Stegostoma tigrinum: one gene and its partner. The protein of the gene in region 2 interacts with the protein of the main gene of each other region in a pairwise test. Links are inferred from orthologs where the notes say so. Each region holds a gene or a part of one and is shown on either strand. Other genes may lie near its edges. The genes, in order: rpap1 and polr2l.

The links.
Region 1: the proteins of polr2l (region 2) and rpap1 interact in binary tests that used the Homo sapiens proteins (3 or more experiments, as listed by UniProt). The link is inferred for Stegostoma tigrinum from reciprocal best matches to the Homo sapiens genes POLR2L and RPAP1.

Annotation. Positions count from the first base shown.
Region 1 is NC_081363.1:79,315,105-79,321,585, forward strand, and holds the start of rpap1 (RNA polymerase II-associated protein 1), read right to left. Parts: upstream 4,066-6,481; 5' UTR 3,998-4,065; intron 2,815-3,997; exon of another isoform or gene 2,203-2,814; intron 1-2,202. UniProt on the Homo sapiens protein: Forms an interface between the RNA polymerase II enzyme and chaperone/scaffolding protein, suggesting that it is required to connect RNA polymerase II to regulators of protein complex formation.
Region 2 is NC_081391.1:22,280,766-22,287,246, reverse strand, and holds polr2l (DNA-directed RNA polymerases I, II, and III subunit RPABC5), read right to left. Parts: upstream 3,656-6,481; 5' UTR 3,576-3,655; coding exon 3,481-3,575; intron 865-3,480; coding exon 756-864; 3' UTR 580-755; downstream 1-579. UniProt on the Homo sapiens protein: DNA-dependent RNA polymerase catalyzes the transcription of DNA into RNA using the four ribonucleoside triphosphates as substrates.

The DNA of each region.
Region 1 (6,481 bases), on a different chromosome or scaffold from region 2:
CGACTTACACATCAACCCAGGCAACAAGCAGCAATAGGTCTTTCAACTGCATGAGCTTCCATTGTCCAGCCCTCTCTCGACTCAATCTGCTGTCCACCCAAACCATTAAGGAGTGCAGCTTTGACTGCAATAAAGCAAGTGGGAACAAAGTTTGGCTCATTTACCATCTCGCCCTTCGTCACCTCGGATGCGAAGGCCACAAAACAATGCTTAAATCAACTAGCTCAGCAGGGACCCTAGATCAGAACCAACACCCTCTAATCTGTGAGGCACAATTATTACTACAAAGCCAGGTATTTTCCTGCTCTCCTTTGAAATAGGATGGTGTGAGGGGCCAGACAGAACCATGGCTTAACATCTGATCCAAAGAATGATATCTCCAACAATATAGCACTTCATCAGTTCCACAGTACGGTGTCAATGCAACCTCTGCATTGTGATCTTTTCCATTTTGAATCAAGACAGCTACCAAACAACCACAACTTACACCTTCTTCCTGACTGTTGTAAACTGATATAGAAGATTGGAGGTTCTTCCTTCTGATCATCACCCTGCAATCTTTAAGCATAAAATAAGGTAATCTGGGAACGACCACTTTGTTAAGAAATCCCTGCGCTTTGGAACCAATGGTTCATTCCACTAATGTCACAACTGCTCATAGGCCACAATGGAATTGACATCTGATAAACCGCTCATCAAAAGGAGAGTGGTCCCTCACTGACACACACACACTCCAGAGTCCAGCATTCAGCCCTAATCCATGTCCAAGTCTTCCAGCCTATGCTGAGCCCTGAACTGAACGGGAGTCAATTTTCTACTGTGGAGATTGAAAGCCCACTGGAAAGGTAGGGATGGGTAGCTGCCTGGCCAGTGGGATCAATTTAAAAGTCTAACATGGTAAATCTGCATCAAGAGCAAACGTATATATTCAATTAAGGATATAGAGAGAAGCAGGAGACCAATTCATAGAGAAAACCCTCACATTGATCTCACCTATCCCAAATCAGTCATTCTGTTATATTCATGTAGGGATAAACTCATTTTGACATGAAAAAGTGATAAGCACGACTGAAAGTGGGGCAATAAATGTCAAGTAGGCAATTATAAGGAGGGAAAAGGAACAACTAGAGGGAGCAATACACATCAATGCTTGTCTGTTTCCTCTCCTGTTTCAGCTCTCAGTCCTGCTCCTGGCCGTACATCACACATTCGCAATGTTCTTTGGTCCAGTCTCCAAGTGCCTGCTTCATATTTTGTCAGTGTTTCTCCCACAGATGATTCCAATGCATCCACATGTAGTCTAGTATGTGGATAAAGAAACTTAACATCTTTCAGCTCACGCATACTTATTTGCTTCTCATTTTCAGGCTATACTGCTACCCAGTTGTAACGTGAAAGGCCAACCAAACGTGTAAACCATTTCTTATCAGTAACACAGCCTCTCCCATTAACTAGTGTCTCCTTCTGGTGAAACTGGGTCTCTCGCAGCCCCAAGCTGCATCTTCAGGGAACCCCGATGGAGGTTTGATTCCCAGATGTAATGTGCAGGTTTGCAAGTGGACAGGCCCAGGAATTCATGATTCAAACTCCAAGCTATGGAAGTGTAAGTCCACTGTATATGGATATTTTGGAGAGCTGATGCTGAGGAAGCAAACGCAGACAAAACACTGGAGTGAAACCCATAGGCGAATTGACATCTGGATATGCTACCTTCTGGCAACTGTTGCAATTAGCCAACACCAAGCAGGGTGTTTTGCATTGACTTTAAACAAACTAAGGAGATCAAGAAGCGTACCTTGGCTTTTGGGGCAGCCTAGGGCCTACATAGATTTTGCCTCAGAACGTGTCCCAGAAAGCACACTCCAGTTTCACTGCAGTGCATTAAAATGACAGAGCCGTTACAAGAAATAAGCCCAGACTGACATAAAAGAATGGGTGCTCCGGCCATTGAAGCTGGATATTGACCCCACAGTTGAGGAAATTAGCGACGTTAGTGACTCACTGGCATAGGTCAAGGTGCTGATGCCGATCCTTACCGTCCGAACTCATCGAGCAGGAGAAACCAGCACTCCTGCAGCATCTACACAAACTTCCCTACCTCTGCTGGTGGAAGGGAGCAGCACTCAGGAATTTGCATGCTCCAACTGTGACTCTGTAGGAGAACAAAGACAACCACAGTGATCGTAACAATGATCCCAGTACCTCCTTTAACGTGCATCACAGGTGAAGTATTTGTTTGTGTTGCCGTTGTCAGACTGCAGATCATATCCATCCCAAATCCCAGGTTGGCATCAGAACTAGAAAATACAGAATTAGCTCATTCTCTCCGCTACAGAGTTGCAAGATGAGATGTCAGGAACAGAGGAGACTGGTGTGCATTTCCACGGTAAGCTCTTAAAAGCCATTAAACTACCTGAGTAAAGACAGTCAACTTAGGCTGTTGATGAACACTGGGTACCCAACGCGACTGATAAACGTGATCTCCTGTTTCCATGACAGCGTGATAGAAAAGGTCAAGGTCAGAAACCTTCAAGAAATAGGACTGTGTTTTGGCACTCACACATTTGGCATATTCTCCTCTTTGCTGCTGTTATATGTCGCCAGGTAATTTACAGAGGGGTCTACTTATATACCAGATTTGACAGAGATCTGTTCAACCTGCCTTACCCAAGATCCAAGACTAAAGTGCACCAAATCATCAGCAGAGAGTTGCTCCACACCAACGATGCTGCAGAATAATTTCACATCGAGAAACATCCTCAGCAGCAAACGTGCAGATGCTCTCACGCCTGGAAAGGACTTGGTTAGACCATCAGCATCAGAAAGGCTACTGTCACTTTCCAAGACATTGCTACACTGCACTTGATAGTGTAACACTAAACCTTTATGTATCAAGGTTCCACAACCACCAATCTGTCACCAAGTGCTGAAATCAACACACACATCACACAGCTGCTCTGTATGATCTCAGTGAGACAGTGTAGTATAGCATTCTGAGAACATCAAACTGCAAACCTAATAAACCTGCATCCTCAGTACATTCCTCTCTATTTATCAGACCTAGACAATGCATGCTAAGCAGAACAAAGGCTGGACAGTTTCCACCTTCGCTGTCTCATATGTATATAGCGTATCTTTTGGCAGGATAAAGTCACTAACTCTCAAGTTCTGGAATGTCCTAACTCCTCAAGCATACACTCATTGCTAAGGCAACGATGTCTGCACTGACTCAGCCGTACTCATTGGATGACTCGTGGCCTTATACCCAGAGGCCTTCTATACAGTGAACTGGCCACTGGGTCACAACTTCCTGAGAGTCCATACTTCTGCAAGAAGGATACCTTGCAAGTGAGGTGGCAGACACTGACAATTTGGAGGTAATCACAAGCAGCCGTGTCCCCTGGTGGGGATGGCTGCCGAAATGGCAAAAACACAAAACTCAGCTGGCCAAGAGAAAACAGGCCAGCAAATCGTGCACTCTCTCAGCACACACAGTTCTCCTCTACAATGAATGCGGCAGAGATGGCGATGTCAGAGTGAAGTTCTAGAGAAACATGAGAAAATGCTGAACACAGAGTAGGCATGGCCCAATCTATCACCCTTCCAGATTTAAGGCTGTCACTGGCATCCTTACAGTTTAGATTAAACCTGCATAATAAAATGTGAGGCTGGATGAACACAGCAGGCCAAGCAGCATCTCAGGAGCACAAAAGCTGACGTTTCGGACTCTTCATCAGAGCGGAACCTCTTATAATCGGCACACATTGTTCTATTTGCACATCTCTGCCTCTCACTTCCCTCACCTGGTATCTCCGCACCCCCTACCCCATATATCTCCAATCGTTCATCATTTCTCTCCCCATCCCTTCTTTCCTCCTCCTCCTCTTCTTCTTTCCCTCCCTCTACTTCTCCTCTCCCCCCCCCCCTTTTCTTTCTTTCACTCTCTCTCCTTCTTCTTCTCTACTTCTCGCCCTCTCTCCCTCTCCCAAACTCTTACTGTTTCGCTCCAAACCTCCACCTGGAACCCACGCCAAGCGCCACTTCCGCCCCGCTTGGCGTCACACGCATAACCCGGCCCCGGCTCGGCTTCCGCTCATTACCGCGGATAGAGCTTATTCGCAACTGTGCAACGGAAAATCCGTCCCCACGACTTCCGTCCACCACTAGGTCGCTCGGATGCAAACAATTGGAACATCTCTCACCCGCCAAGTTGAACACAGGGAATGGGTATGGGAGGGGGATTCCCTTCAATTCCTATAATGCAAAATAGAGAACCCCCCTCCCCACCCCACCAAAACAGAAATAACCTCAACAGCAAGAGGCTATTTGTCGAAGCACGAAGAAAGTGAAAGGTTTGGAGTGGCAATTCTCAATTCCGCACTTTAAGCTATGAACAGTACACACCAGATATTCGAGGATCTATTCTCAATTGTCTCTTCCTTGGCAAGCCTCCTCGATGACTGCACTTCAAGTGTACTTCGACGGCAGTAAAGCAGCTTTGGGACGTCTAGCGGTCGCGAAAAAGGGCGACATTATTTTTCTTTGGAAATCTCGGAAGGGGTTGTCCCATGGGAGCCCCTCAACCCACAGGAGAAGGAGCTCAGCTCAGTCAGTTGTTTCCATCACAATGAGATCATTCGCTGACAACGTTTTCCAAAGTAACTCCTGCTTAATTTGCAAGGTGTGCGTGGTATTTTTGCCTGCCTGGAAATCGTGACAGGGAAACGTATAGGTGATCAGAGATAATGGGAACTGCAGATGCTGGAGGATCCAAGATAACAAAGTGAAGCTGGATGAACACAGCAGGCCAAGCAGCATCTCAGGAGCACAAAAGCTGACGTTTCGGGCCTAGACCCTTCATCAGACAGGGGGATGGGGAGAGGGTTCTGGAATAAATAAGGAGGGGGGAGGCGGACAGAAGATGGAGAGAAAAGAGATAGGTGGAGAGGAGAGTATAGGTGGGGAGGTAGGGAGGGGATAGATCAGTCCAGGGAAGACGGACAGGTCAAGGAGGCAGGATGAGGTTATCTTTTCTCTCCATCTTCCGTCTGCCTCCCCTCTCTCCCTATTTATTCCAGAACCCTCTCCCCAACCCCCTCTCTGATGAAGGGTCTAGGACCGAAACATCAGCTTTTGTGCTCCTGAGATGCTGCTTGGCCTGCTGTGTTCATCCAGCTTCACACTTTGTTATCATAAACCTATAGGTGAGGCATTTTCCTCGGTTTTCTGCCCAAGTTCACCAGTAACAATTTTACTGACCATGTTTATGCTTCTTTGTGCCTTCATGGGATGTGGGCATCACTAGCATTTGTTGCCCATCCCCTGATTGCCCTTCCACTGACTGGCTAGCAAAGTCATTTCAGAAAACAGTTAAGAGCAGTTCAGAAAGAGGCAACCATATTGTTGTGGATCTGAAGTCACAGACTGGGACAGGACAACAAATTTCCTTTCCCAGAGGGCATTAGTGAACTATGTAGGCTTTTACAACATAATAGCTCCATAGTCTCAGAACTGAGGTGAGTTTTCAATTTTCAATTATTAATTAAATTTAAGATCCACAAACTGCACTTTATTCATTCACAGGATGAGGGCATCTTTGGCTAGGCTAGCATTTATGCCCATCCCTAATTGCCCAGAGGGCAGTTAAGAGTCAACTATATTGCTGTGGGATTTGAATGTAGACCAGGCCAGTTTCCTTGCCTGAAGGACACCAGTGAATCAGATAGGTTTTTCCGTCAATCGGCAGTCGTTTAATGGTCTTCACTGAACTCTTAATTCCAGATTTTTATTGAATTCAAGTTCCACCATCTACCATGAACCCAGGTCCTGAGCTGGGCCACTGGATTAACAGACCAGCAACACTACCACTAGACTGTCACTTCACCTCATTGATGAGATTTCAACTCATGTCCCAGAGTATTAACCTGGGCCTGTCATCCCACTATATTAACACCATACTATAAAATCCCTTAATACTATTTCAATTTTTTCGGATTTTGCGATAAACTTTACTGTAACGTTCATTATTTCCAATATAAGCACAATATAACCGAAATGTTTTTCCTCATGCTTCCTTAACCAGGAAGACACAACTGAATAACTAAATTCTTATGTTTCAGAAAGAGGCCATTCAGCCCATCTATCAACAATGGCTAACTAACGACCCAACAATCTGAATAGTTGAACGGTTTTCTGATTTAAAGCATTTTTTTTCTGAAAGTCATGGTGCGGCGGTTTCCCATGGCCACACTTTTGTTACTAGCTAAAGAAAAAACCCTGTGAACATCCTCTCAGAGTTGAAAAACAATTTTAAAGTTCTAGGCATTCATGATGGCTGGAAGACACATCACTCAACGTCCAACCACGGCTCTACCTTTTACTTGCTTATATCAGAAATATTTGGGAATGCATTAGCTCTCTTCTTCATTTTCGCAACCAATCCACATTCACTGCATGAGGCACAATTGTGTTCCATAGATCA
Region 2 (6,481 bases):
TCAGAGCAATAGCACAGCTTTTACAATTCAGAACTCCACAGCAGCCACCGTTGCCTCCGAGTTTGTTATTCCATTCAGGGCCCTGACCTCCATTGTGGGAATCCCTGACTTAGATTCCATGAAGGGAAAAGCAGACTAATTATTTATCATAAACAGATGTAGGGTAGAGGACACAGCTCAAAGTAAACAACTGGTAATAGTAATGGGCAAGTGACCTCCTGCTGAAAACCACAAAGTTATTTTTACAGTCCTGTAACCAGCACAACAAAAGGAAAGAATCCAGCTCAAAGGACCCCTCCTGTCTTCTACACTAAGATTTTTAAATTTTTTCCCCCACCCAGTATCTGATTAAGCCTGTTAGAGATCTAATTTTTCTTCCAATTCTGATTAAAGATACTATCTCTCTCCATGCTTGCTGCCATTACCTGCTGAGTATTTCCAGCAGTCTCTTTTCTCCTTTGACTGTCCTGTCTTTTTTTCCCTTCTTTTAAAAAGCTTCGCAGCAGTTCTCTTTCAAATTTAAGAGCATTCTCTCTCAACAATCCTAATCAATGACCTTTCATGAAGTGTAAACAGTGCTCAGAGTTAAATTCATTTTATTTACAAGACAGACAAAATGAAAACTCTTTTCTTCCAATCCCAAAAATATAGACTTAAAAAAAACTATTCAGTTCCACGTTTGTAGAGTCGTGCCATCAAACCAGAAGAGTTTGAGCAATTCTTTTGCTTGCCACAATCCAGAAACTAAGGGCACATCATTTCTCCAGAGGTGCGTAGTTCAAGAGTTTTTCAATCAGGTCTACGTGGGACAGCAGCATTCGTCTGCAGCAGTAACGTTTCAGGCCCAATGCATCCAGCGCATCACTGGAAACAGATAACCCACATTTAGTAACACGTTAACATCATATTGCTAGCTCTATACATCACTAAGGACTAAAATTAGGGGGACAGGTAGGTGGCTAGTTTTTGGTCTTCAGTAGAGAAGGTTAAGCAATGATATAGCACAAGCATTTTAGAAACAATCAAAGCAGATTGACAGGATGGATAGAGCAAGTTCAGAACTAGGACAAACCTCAAAACTGTAAAGAACAGGACACTATCATTTCACTCCTTGATCACAGCTGATTAACGACACACTGCCTGGAGAGGTGTGTGTGGGGGGGGAACGACTATAATGTTCTGGGAGGTGGTTAGGTGATCACTTAGGCACCATGCTGTGTGGACAGCGTTGTGAGGCTAGGAAGGTGGGATGGGTGTAGATGGGAGATCAATGGCCAACATGGACTCGGTAGGTCTCTCTCTGTGCTGTGATATCAACAAAGAACATTACATGCAGCGAATCAAATTGGCTGAAGACTGGTATCTGAGATGCCAAAGACCACTGGAGGCCAAGATGTGCCATCCACTCAGCATTTCTGACTGAAGATGGTTGCAAATGCTTCAGCCTTATCTTCTGCGCTGGTGCTGGGAATAATGGTGGAGCCCCCTCTTCAAGGGCGACGTTGATTATCTACCACCATTCATGACTTGATACAGGAAGACTGTACAGTTTAGATCTGATTCCGCTGGTTTTGAATCACTTAGCTTTGTCTATCTCTTGCTGCTTATGCCTCTTGATTTGTAAATAGTCCTGTTTCATAGCTTCACCGGGTTGACAGCTCACTTTTAGGATAACGTGGAAATGCTCTGACACACCTTACTGCACTCTGCATTGACCTAAGGTTGATCCCCTGCTTGGTGTTACTAAGAGTTGGGGATATATTGGGCCATGAGGTTGCAGACCTGGCAGGTAGAGGCACTGTAATATTTAAATATTTAGATTTGCACTTGCGATGCCAAAGCATACATGGCTATGGCCAAATGTAGAAAAACAGGATTAGAATAATTAGGTAACAAAGTGTGGAGCTGGATGAACACCGTAGGCCAAACAGCATCTTAGGAGCTCAAGAGCTGACGTTCCGAGCCTACTTGTTGGGCCAAAAAGCCTTTCTCTGTGCTGTATTATGACTATGCTTCCATAGAGGGACTTTTGCCCCTAATCCTTATTTGGGGACTTGCATGAACCACAGTTTAAAATTCGTAACTGATTGAACAAACTGTTTTTTAAACACATTCCACCACCCTACTGTGGGTGTATAAAATGTCTCTTCCCAATTTATCTCATGATCTTATTGAATTACAGAACAGACTGTAAGTCTCAGGAGCAGAACAAGGCCATGTAGCCCATCAAGTCTGCTCCACTATTCAATGAGATCATGGTTGATCTGATAACTCAACTCCATTTTCCTGCTGTTTCCCTACAATCCTTCATTCCTTTACTGATTAAAAATCTGTGTCTCAAACTTGAGCAAGAGAATCTGTGGGAAAGAATTCCAGATTCACTACCCTCATAAGAGATTCCTCAACTCTGGTGTAACTGAGCAATTCCTTAGTCTGTCATTATACCCTCTAGTCCTAGACTCTCCAAGATGGAGAAACAACTTCTTAGCATCCAACCCGTCATGCCAACACCACGTCCCCACCTTCCAATAACTTTTTGCTTTAATGAGGCCACCCAGCCAATCTTCTGAGTCCAGTGTTCTGGCTGAGCCAACTCAACATCTCAAGAAAATCCCTCCACAAGCAGGATCAGCCTCAAGAGCCTTCTCTGGATCACCTGCAATGGCAACGTGTCTTTCTGTTGATAAGGGTTCTAAATCAGTTCACAGCATTCCAAACATCTGGCTCAAGGGTCAATACTCCCTACTTTGACTCCTAATTCATACAGATGTACCACTTGGCCATATCTTGGCTTTTCATAAATTCGACCAAGGCTGATACTAAGGTGGAGAACTGGATGAACACAGCAGGCCAAGCAGCATCGGAGGAACAGGAAGGGTACCGTTTCGGGTCACGAAGAAGGGCTCAGACCCGAAAGGTCAGCTTCCCTGCTCCTCTGATGCTGGTTGGCCTGCTGTGTTCACCCAGCTCCAGGCCGGTGTTATCTCACTGTCTCCAGGATCTGCAGTTTCTACTATCTCTGAGGCTGACACTGTTGGCGCTCTGTCCAAGTTTGTTTTATATTCACCCGCGGGACCTGAGTGTCACTGGCTTGACCAGCATTAGTTGCCCAGAGAGGGGGGAGCCCAGTCACCCACACTGCTGTGGGTCTGGAGTCACATGTAGACCAGGCCATGGTGTGGGTGGCAGATTCCCCCCCCCCCCCCCAAAGGGTATTAGCGAACCAGGTGGGGTTTTCTCACAAACTGGCAAGGGGTTCATCACCAGACTCTTCACTCCAGGTTCAAACCTGTTTCCCCGGAACATTAACCCGGGGCTTTGCACTCATCGTGGCACCGGGCCTCCCCGTTGTCCCAGTGAGTCCGGCCAGAGTCTGGATGGAAGGTGCGGGCGCTGCCCGAGGCCGGTGTTGTTGTTGTTGTTGTTAGGCCCCAGGCCCCAGGCCTCTCCCCGCCCACCCCGCCCCCGGCTGTTACTCACCCCTCCGTGTACTCGGCCTGCAGCAGGCCCAGGTAAGCCTCCCACTTGTTGCCGACCACCTTGCCGCAGGTGAAGCAGCGGACCGGGATGATCATGGCGCCGTCTCCGAGAATGAGTCGTGGGGACGGAAACTCCGCTTCTGGAAACTTCTCCCAGCGTCAGCCCACTGCGCATGTGCTGGGGGGGGGGGGAGAAAATGATGTCCCGCGGGCAGATTGCGCATGCGTGCCGTACTGGGCCTGCGGTGAGGAATTGAGAGCAGCGGGGGGCGCTGTTTCTCTCAATTTCACCTCCAAAGTGGGAGGAGGGGCATGAGGTGGGTCTCAGAGACTACAGGGTCAAGACTTGTTACCCATTTCCTAATTTCAACCTTTACAAGGTGTGGGTGGGTTGCTGTCTAACCAGAGCAATGAAACAGCACAGCAGGGGCCATTCAGTCCATCCTGCCTGTGCTGACCCAAATGCCTTTGCAATCCCACCTTCCTGCACACAACCCATAGTTTTGCAGATTACAGCACTTCAGGCGCAGATCGGGGACTTTCGAAAAGAGTTTAGAGCCGTTGCCTCCATCACCAACTCACACAGCAAATTCTAGACACACATCATCGTCTGCATAAGAGATAATAGGAACTGCAGAGGCTGGAGAATCCGATATAACAAGGTGTAGAGCTGGCAGGCCAAGCAGCATCTTCGGAGCAGGAAAGCTGACATTTCAGGCCTAGACCCTTCATCAGAAATGGGGGCGAGGAAGAGGGTTCTGAAATAAATAGGGAGAGAGGGGGAGATGGATCAAATATGGATAGAGGAGAAGATAGGTGAAGAGGAGACAGACAGGTTAAAGAGGCGGGGGTGGAGCCATGAAAGGTGAGTGTAGGTGGGGGAGGTAGGGAGGGGATAGGTCAGTCCGGGGAGGACGGACAGGTCAAGGGGGCAGGATGAGGTTAGTAGGTAGGAGATGGGGGTGGGGCTTGAGGTGGGAGGTGGGGATAGGTGGGAGGAAGGGCAGGTTAGGGAGACAGGGATGAGTTGGGCTGGTTTTGGGATGCAGTGGGGGGACGGGAGATTTTTAAGCTTGTAAAATCCACATTGATACCATTGGGATGCAGGGTTCCCAAGCGGAATATGAGTTGCTGTTCCTGCAACCTTCGGGTGGCATCATTGTGGCACTGCAGGAGGCCCAGGATGGACATGTCATCTGCGGAATGGGAGGGGGAGTTGAGTGGTTCGTGACTGGGAGGTGCAATTGTTTATTGCAAACTGAGCATAGGTGTTCTGCAAAGCGATCCCCAAGCCTCCACCTGGTTTCCCCGATGTAGAGGAGGCCACAATGCGAACAGCAGTATACCTCATTTGCAGATGTGCAGGTGAACATCTGCTTGATGTGAAAAGTCATCTTGGGGCCTAGGATGTGGGTGAGGGAGCAGGTGTAGCACTTCCTGCGGTTGCAGGGGAAGGTGCCGGGTGTGGTGGGGCTGGAGGGGAGAGTGGAGCGGATAATGGAGTCACGGACAGAGTGGTCTCTCTGGAAAGCAGACAAGGGTGGGGAGGGAAAAATGTCTATAGTGGTGGGGTCGGATTGCAGATGGCAGAAGTGTTGGAGGATGATGCGTTGGATCCAGAGGTTGGTGGGGTGGTACGTGAGGACGAGCGGGATTCTGTTGTTATTGTGGGGATGGGGTCTGAGGGATGAGTTGCAAGAAATATGGGAGACACAGTCGAGGGCGTTCTTGACCACTGCAGAGGGGAGCTTTTGGTCCTTGAAAAATGAGGACATCTGAGATGTACGGGAGTGGAATGCCTCATCCTGGGAGCAGATTTGAGGGAGGCAAAGGAATTGGGAATAGGGGATGGCATTTTTGCAGAAGTTGGGTGGGAGGAGGTGTATTCTAGGTAGCTGTGGGAGTTGGTGGGCTTGAAATGGATATCAGTTTCTAGGTGGTTGCCCGAGATGGAGGCAGAGAGATCCCGGAAGGTGAGGGAGGTGTTAGAGATAGTCCAGGAGAACTTAAGGTTGGGGTGGAAGGTGTTGGTGACGTGGATGAACTGTTCGAGCTCCTCTTGGGAGCAAGAGGCGACGCTGATACAGTCATCAAAGTAACAGAGGAAGAGGTGGGGTTTGGGCCAGTGTAGGTACGGAAGTGGATTATTCCACATAACCTACAAAGAGGCAGGCATAGCTTCGGCCCATGCAGGTACCCATGGCTACCCCCTTTGTCTGTAGGAAGTGGGAAGAATTGAAAAAGGAGTTGTTGAGGGTGAGGACAGGTTCGTCTAAGCAGATGAGGGTGTCATTGGAGGGTGACTGGTCGGGCCTGCAGGACAGGAAGAAGCGGAGGGCCTTGAGGCCATCTGCATGGGGAATGCAGATGTATAGGGACTGCACGTCCATAGTAAAAATGAGGTGTTGGGGACCGGGGAATTGGATGTTCTGGAGAAGGTGGAGGGCGTGGGTGGTGTCTCGAACGTACGTAGGGAATTCCTGGACCAAGGGGAAGAAAATGGAGTCCAGATAGGTGGAGATGAGTTCGGTGGGGCCAGAGCAGGTGGAGACAATGGGTCAACCAGGACAGGCAGGTTTGTGGTTTTTGGAGATAGAAGCGGGTGGTGTGGGGTTGGGGATCGATGAGGTCGGATGCTGTGGGTGGGTGGTCAGCCAAGGTGATTTTGTTGTGGATGTTTTGGGTGATGATGGTTTGGTGCTCGGGGGTGGGGTAATGATCCGGGGGCGGTAGGAGGAGGTGTCGGAGAGTTGGCCCCGGGCCTCAGCGATGTAGAGGTCAGTGCGCCATACGACAACTGCACCTCCCTTGTCCATGGGTTTTATGGTGAGGTTGGGATTGGAGTGGCGGGCTGCCCGTTCTGCTGGGGAGGGGTTGGTGTGGATGAGAGGGGTGGAGAAGTTGAGGCGATTGATGTCATCCAGCTCTACACCCTCTCCACAAAACAGTTTTTCCTCAAATCTCTTCTAATTTTCCTGCCATTTAACTTGAATCTGTGGCAG